Linked DNA regions of Bombyx mori. The protein of the gene in region 1 binds, or shares a complex with, the protein of each later gene. Links are inferred from orthologs where the notes say so. Each region holds a gene or a part of one and is shown in the gene's direction. Other genes may lie near its edges.

Region 1 (4,332 bases):
GGCTTGCTCTTGGGGATTTGCCAATCTAGGAAGTGGCGCAAGCGGGTGTTGAGAATGTACAGTAGAACTTTGCTGCAATGTGAGACAAGGGCTAGCGTGCGGTTATTGTCGCACTTCCTAGTTGACCCTTTTTTATGAAGCGGCAAAATGATCAACTCAGTCCAGTTATTGGGCCACTCGCCATGTTGCCATACGTAATTGCAGATGCTATGCACTGCATTCACACCCCTATCTCCCAGCGATTTAATTATTTCTGCCGTGATGTGATCCGGTCCTGGAGCTTTATTGCTCTTTAGTCGAGAGATGGCTTCTGTTACTTCTGATCGTATTATTGAAGGTTCTAAGGTTATGTCGTCCCAGACTGGGAGTTGTGTACTCATTGACTGAGGCTGATCATATAATCCTTCACAGTATTTACGCCACATTTCGACAACGGCATTTAAATCAGTGATAGGCTTGCCATTGGGATCTTCAATTATCCAGGATCTTGGTTTAAATTTCCGAGACAAAAGGCGAACTTTCTTGAACAAATAAGACGGTTGGTATTTTTGTGAATGTTTTTCGATATCAGTGTAAATGTCTCCAATGAAACAGCTTTTATCTCGGCGGCACGCTTTTTTAATTTCCTTGCAAAGGTCAGAATAAGTCTTCCTGACGTCATCATTCTGTAATCCCTTCACTTTGATGTCTTTCCTCTTGCTTATAAGCTTCTCTTGTTTGCTCCGAAATCCATACTTTGGTTTTTTTTCCGATTTGCATTTCCCTCTCTGCGGGAAGCCTTGATTTCTTCAAGGGATTCGCAGAGATGAGATTTTACGGTATCCCATTGAGTGTTAGCATCGCCTGTAGGAGGTTCTAGGGCTAGTTTTTTCTCCACGGCATCGCATAAGTATGTCCTTTCTTCCGGTTCCAGTGCACGTGGTCCTCTGATGGTTCTACTGCTGGCAGTTTTGTGTCGTAATGTAAATCTTTATGGTCAATTTTTAAAAAAACTACTACCAATTGAATAAGAACTGTCTGATGAATTCATCTTTGTTTAATACTTCACTATTAAATTTTATTGACTTTTGTTTATTTTACTTTTACACTAAACACTAAATATTGCAAATTACCCGAGCACAACAATGGCGGAGAATTTTAGATGCGTGAGAGCAGACGTAGACAGACGTAGACGCATGCACACTTAACCCAGGGAGAAAAAGTTACACTTTCTTTCCTGTACAGCAGGAGGAAAAGTTACACTTTCTTCCCTGTATAGCGGGACGAAAACCGAACTTTCGGCGTCGGTAGGAGAAAAAATTTATTTTCAATTATTTGTACCATTTCGCTATCGTAACACAAACACGGCTCAGTCTAACAAAAAACTTAGTTCTATACACGGCTTTATTTGCTTGTCCAACTAGACTTTAAAAAAATACATCTGTCAGTGCTGATGCTATGTCAAAAGTCAACAAAGAATCTTTTGTTTTGTTTCCAAAAGACAGTCGACAGTCGACTTTGACCGTGTTTTTTATAAATTAATATAAATTTGTTTAATAAAAATGGAAAACGATCTAGACAAAGTCGTAGAAGAAATCATGTCTATGCCTAATGTCAATGGCTGTCTTATCGCGGACCCACAAGGACTATGCTTGGCATCAAAAGGCGCCGCGCACGTAGACTCTGCAGGGATAATCGTTGCCATATCAGAACAGGCCTGTAAAATACAACCGAACATGAAACCGCCCACAGTTTGCCTTGAAACTGATAAAAAACAGTGCCTCATACAACGACATGGCACGATCACCGGAGCGATTTTTAAATTGAAAACATAGAAGGTACTTGTATATTTTATTTATTTATTGAAAATGTAATAATTGTTTATCATGATATGTATGAACGGCCTTGAACTTAAATGAACTCTTTGCTGTTACTTCACAACATAGTTTTCTATGGAACATGAAATTACTTGTAAGTTATGACATAAGTGAAATGTAATAACAATATTTTAATGTACAGGTAGCTAGCCCTACTATAACACGGTATTTTACAACACGATTCCACACTAACACGAAAAGATAAATTCCCCAAAACCTTATAATGAGATTTTTGTTATATAGAAAATTACATTACGCACTATGAACACACAAGTTATGGGAGTAACTGAAACTTTACTGCTTCATCATCATCATCATCATCAGCCCATCATCAGTCCACTGCTGGACATAGGCCTCTCCCAATCCACACCGAGGGTATTTTTTATTTTTATATAATATCATATATTATATAAAAACTTCTATTATTATTCTATTATTTTTTCTATTATTATTAATCTATACTAATATTATAAAGAGGAAAGATTTGTTTGTTTGTTTGTTTCGAATAGGCTCCGAAACTACTGGACCGATTTGAAAAATTCTTTTTCCATTAGAAGCCGACATTGTCCCTGATGAACATAGGCTACTTTTTTTTATTTTTTTTTATTTTTTTTTTTGGTTTCTGTGTGTTTTAATGTTTCCGAAGCGAAGCGAGGGCGGGTCGCTAGTAATGATTATAATGCAAGTTCTTGAAAATAAATCCATTCATGAAAAGAATAATAAGGATGAAGTCTCAAGATGGTGGGTGATAGCATTCACATACTCACATACATTATTCACACATACATTATTAGTAATTATTTAAGTTTCATTTACAGTTAAATAAAGTTTATTATTTGTTTTTCAGTAAAATAAAATTTAAAACAACATTGAACTATTCTGGTAAGCAAGCTATCCAGAAGATCGTGTATTATTCAGCCAAAAGTATGTTAACTTAACATCTCTCAGGAGGTTATGTCTAGTGATAGGAAATAAATTAAAATTATTATTTACTTTTAACTGACCCCCAAAATAACATAAATTTGAATACTTCTTTATCTAGATTTTAATTTCAAAATTTATCTAAAGTATTACCTACCAATCATAAAATGTAAAACCACATAAACATTGTATAATGTTATTTTAAAGAGAATAAATATTAACAGCTAAATTATTGTAATGGCTTACCACCATACTAAGTAAAAGTTTAACAATTATGATTAACATAATATTGTATTCCAAGTATAAGTTTTTCGTAACCACATAAATTCTCTAGTTTCTTCATGTAATAATAATAATGACTGGTTTTTTAATTTGCTTGTTTATTAGCTTTGCCTGTATGCATTGGAATCTTTGAACATTATTTCAACCCACCTCGAAACATTATATAATTGAAATTTAGCACACTTATAAAGGACCGCCCAGAATAATAGAATAATATAATAAGAGTATCCCATTGGACTGACCAGGATCTTCAGGATTATTCTCAAATAATATATAACATAGTATGTTTTTCTTTGGTTTTTGAGTTGTAAACATAATTTAAGTACTTTTACTGTTTAATCTTGCATTAATTATTTTTTGTTATAAGTTAAGTTGCTTTAGTTAACTAAATGATTGTTTAAATTAAAAACTTTCTTTTTCAGCTCGCTAAAAAATACTAAAAAGTAAAAAATATTTGTTAGATGTGGAAAGTTTGTTCTTATAGGATCATAATTTCGTTCTTATTTTAAAAGTTTTAATATAAAAATTAAGTTTAAGTAAGGAAAAGTATGGGGAGTGGTTCTACTGTAAGAAAATATTATTAATGATCATTTTGGTAGTTTTTCAATTACAGCACAAGAGCGCATTATGCAGCATAATGCTCAACGTTGAATGTTCCAACTACAGCAACGCTTCGCACAATCGAGCACTCTCAAAAGTACTGCTGATACTCGCAATCGGTACCAACTCAGTGACAGAATAAATTGACAAGTGTTTTTTCTTTAAGTTGGCATTGATCGAAATTTTGTTTATATTATCGTTAGTAATATTATTTAATGTTGAAAAAAAATGTAAGGCTTTCGTTTCGTCGTAGTTTCTTAGAAATAATCAATATTAAATAAAACTGTGCTAACTTAGCGCACTCTGCTGATGCATTTGAAAACTAATTGACTTTCCAATTAATCTTCAGCATAATTTGGCATTGTGCTTCACTGAGTCGCATTATGCTCTGTAATTGGAAAACTACCTATAACACTTATCATTTAGTTATGGACTATTTATTGTAAGATTTGATGTTAGGCACCCTACACTTTATTAACTTAAATGTTCCACAGGACAAACAGTTACTTAGACTGTGGATAGCCTTTTAAAAGACTATAGAAACGAAACAATTATTTTAATGTTAAGTATCTCTTGTTATTTTATATATGAGGTTTACAAATATTATAATATATGGTTTATGTGAAATGATTATTATTTTCCTAGTACGAGGCAAGAAAACAAGAACATCAAT
Region 2 (3,872 bases), on another chromosome or scaffold:
TTAAGTACCGTAAAATGGGGCGATTAGGGATTGAGAGGCGAATTGGGAAAAAAACAGGAAACTCTTTCGACGCTCAATATTAGTTTTATATTCATTGCAAAATCTTCCATTTTTTGTAGTTTAATAGTAGAATGTTGAAAGTTCACAAAACAACTCTGAATATGCATGATAATAGCTGCTAACTTATAAAAAATCGCGTTTCAAATTAACTTTCTGTGGTGGTAATTATTTCAGTGCTAGAAACTTTGCTCTCTTTTATTTATTTGATTATAATAGAAGACGACTGTGATTTATAAACGTTATTTAGTGTTTGAACCATCATATATATTAAAGGTAAGTCTCAGTTATTATTGGATTTAATGTATTTGATAAAATAAAAATACATGTAAAAATCTGTTGTTTTTGGGGATATTGGGGACGTCTTAGGTACAAATAACAACGAAATAGGGGTCAATTGGGATGAGAATAAGAGAAACGGAAACGACCTAAGTACAAATAGGTACAGGTTTGTAGGGTTGTCTATGTAGTTAAAACAATATTTTTTAAATTTGTTGGTAAAAATCTGGTTTATTCATGATGTTTTTGTCTAGAACTTTTATTCAAACTTATCAATGTGTTGTTTTATTATTTGGTAAATATTTATATTATCAGTTACGTATTGTTTTCTATTTTTAGATATGCCTCGCGTGTACGTATTAAAGAGTGCCAAACCTTATAAGAGATATGATCCCTTAATATTATGTCCTTCTTCAAACGAGGCTTGTGGAGAGTATTAAACGGTAGGCAGCGGCTTGGCTCTGCCCCTGGCATTGCTGAAGTCCATGGGCGACGGTAACCACTCACCATCAGGTGGGCCGTATGCTCGTCTGCCTACAAGGGCAATAAATTAGATATACTCTATAGAGTATATCTAATTTAAAACGCACTTGTTAACAAAACGCTAGTAAATAGGGCCATTGCCAGCTGACTGACAAAACCGGCGCATGCGCAATGTAGGCGTGAGGTGATGGTTTGCTTATTAGATATAAAATAATTAATAATTGGGAATTTAATTGTTTTTATGATCGAACAATTACCAATAGTCGTTGAACAAACGATAATTGATAAAAACTAACTAATCTGAGCGATAAAAATAAAGATATCCAATAAGAGGGGCCAACTTAAGGGTGGTAATTTGCTTAATTAATTATAATAAATATTTAAACCCGAAGAAACACTAAATAGACAAAATAAAACAAATCACACAACTTCACTCCTCGCGTTCCCGCCAAAAAGTTCAAGTTCAGTGGATTACACGGATTGTCACGGATGCATAGATAATACACACATTGAGACACGGACGGCGACCATAGATTATACTCTTAATATATTTGACGGCGACGGTATTTTGATAGTTGTCAAATCCTACGTAAAAGTGGAAAATAGAAATTATCCTAAAAATTTAAGATCGTTGACGTCGAAAATTAAGTTCCATTTGACTCCATACAGAGGAGGGCCGTTCGGATTGTCGATAATCCCATTCTCTCGGATCGTTTGGAGCCTCTGGGTCTGCGGAGGGACTTCGGTTCCCTCTGTATTTTATACCGTATGTTCCATGGGGAGTGCTCTGAGGAATTGTTCGAGATGATACCAACATCTCGTTTTTACCATCGCACCGCCCGCCACCGGAGTAGAGTTCATCCATACTACCTGGAGCCACTGCGGTCATCCACAGTGCGTTTCCAGAGATCTTTTTTGCCACGTACCATCCGGCTATGGAATGAGCTCCCCTCCTCGGTGTTTCCCGAGCGCTATGACATGTCCTTCTTCAAACGAGGCTTGTGGAGAGTATTAAGCGGTAGGCAGCGGCTTGGCTCTGCCCCTGGCATTGCTGAAGTCCATGGGCGACGGTAACCACTCACCATCAGGTGGGCCGTATGCCCGTCTGCCTACAAAGGCAATAAAAAAAAAAAAAAAAAAAAAAAAAAAATAATAACAAATCAACACTTGAAAACGATTCAAGTTTAACTTCGTACTTAGCCATTTTCATGTAAATCCAACAGCACCAAGCCTTCAAAATGCTAAAACCGAAAGCATTAACAGAAGTTTTAAGTCAAGCTAATACAGGAGGAGTAGAAAACACTTTGTAATGAAAACATTTAGTTTGGTTACATATTTTATTAGACACTAAACATCAAAATTACAGGTGCTTCTTGATTTTAGGTTGTTGAATCATCAAGGTGCACTTCTAGCTTATTCTGGTTACAATGATAAGGATGCTAGAGTCACTGCTGCAATCGCTAGTAATGTCTGGTCAGCTTATGAAAAACACGGCAGAAATGTTTTTAAAGAAGATGGACTACATTTAATACTAGTAGATTGTTTAAATGGGAAAATTGCAATCACACAAGTTGCCAATTTATTACTGTGTCTTTATGCGAATGAGGCTGTTGGTTTTGGCATTCTGAAAGAAAAAATCAATGCTATTGCTCAGTATCTAGAAGGTCCTTTGAAGCAAGTTGCAAGTTCATAATATGTAATTTTAAATAATTATGAGCAAAATAATATGAGAAGTCACTAAAATACTTTACTTGGTTACTAAAATACTTTATTCAGTTATTTGAATCTTTAAATTTTATAGCTATTATATAAAACATGATAATTGCAAATTTGATTCCTGATTTGTATGCCATGTTTGATAATAAAAGGATTTACTGAGATAGTAGCTTAATGGATTCATTTGAATAATAATAGTTAAGATGCCTCATATACGTGTGCTATGCAACTATGCTGTATTTTCTGGGACAGGTATAAACATATTATTAAATATCTAGGTTCACAATAAACTTTCACATTAAAAAAAAGCTTAGAAATAAAATAAAACATTCAAAATTAATAGATTTTCATAATAACTGTCAGTATGGTGGAACCTGCATGGGTAGATAATATATACAATATATTAATATTGGAAAAATTAATGTACTGTAAAAATGTCTTTTCATTTTAATGTCAGACATTGTTACTACTGTAAATCTAATTAACATGTCCATATGTCAGTTTGCATGGCTTCTTTGTCAATTTGATAGTGGAACAAAATAGAAAAAGTAAAGTTCAACTAAATGGTTAATGCTAAAACCCCTATAAGTTGATGTACATTTAGTCATTAATATTTTATAAACTTTAATCAGAATATTTTGTAGTATCACAATTAATGATGACCCAGTATAAATCTATTCTTCTTTAAGTTTGTATTGAATGTTTAATAGTGACAGCATAGAGCTGAGCATAGCCAGGAGTATCCTTTATGTAAATCATACAGTTGCTCCTCATATGCACATTGTATCATTGTAACCTAGGATAGATAGATGGTTTATATATAAAAAATCGAAATTTGTTAATTGTTTCTTACCAGGAATTCCAGTACAAATATTCCCTTGTTACAAGCAGTCTCGTCTGATCATTAGCTTATAAATAAATAAATAAATAAATATTTACTAACTATCACGCCACGTTAACTGGTCCCGTGATAAGTTCGTAAAGAACTTGTGTTACAGGTACCAGATAACGGAAATAAATGTAAGATTTTTATTATACACATACATATACTTAATACACATCCATAACCCTGGAAAAGACATTTATATTTATCATACAAATATCTTCCCTTGGCGGGATTCGAACCCGCGACCCCCTTGTGTAGTGACCATGTCACTTACCACTACACCAGACGGCCGTTAAATATTAAAATATTCTTAATATATACTTATAAAATATAATAATACTTATAAAGTCATAAATACCAAATAAATAATAGGTAATTTACCTGTGAAATTGCCATTAAGCATACAGAAAATGAAAGCAATATTTTTATAAATATTTTTTTTATTTCTATA

What was found.
Region 2: ragulator complex protein LAMTOR5 (region 1) and roadblock domain-containing protein 3 share a complex: the UniProt entries of both Homo sapiens proteins name them as parts of the ragulator complex. The link is inferred for Bombyx mori from reciprocal best matches to the Homo sapiens genes LAMTOR5 and LAMTOR2.

Annotation. Positions count from the first base shown.
Region 1 is NC_085110.1:1,233,003-1,237,334, forward strand, and holds ragulator complex protein LAMTOR5, read left to right. Parts: upstream 1-1,436; 5' UTR 1,437-1,541; coding exon 1,542-1,814; 3' UTR 1,815-1,817; intron 1,818-2,703; exon of another isoform or gene 2,704-3,164; 3' UTR 3,165-4,286; downstream 4,287-4,332. UniProt on the Homo sapiens protein: As part of the Ragulator complex it is involved in amino acid sensing and activation of mTORC1, a signaling complex promoting cell growth in response to growth factors, energy levels, and amino acids.
Region 2 is NC_085123.1:7,142,560-7,146,431, reverse strand, and holds roadblock domain-containing protein 3, read left to right. Parts: upstream 1-1,386; 5' UTR 1,387-1,468; exon of another isoform or gene 1,469-1,469; intron 1,470-1,969; 5' UTR 1,970-2,057; coding exon 2,058-2,125; intron 2,126-2,202; coding exon 2,203-2,512; 3' UTR 2,513-3,221; downstream 3,222-3,872. UniProt on the Homo sapiens protein: As part of the Ragulator complex it is involved in amino acid sensing and activation of mTORC1, a signaling complex promoting cell growth in response to growth factors, energy levels, and amino acids.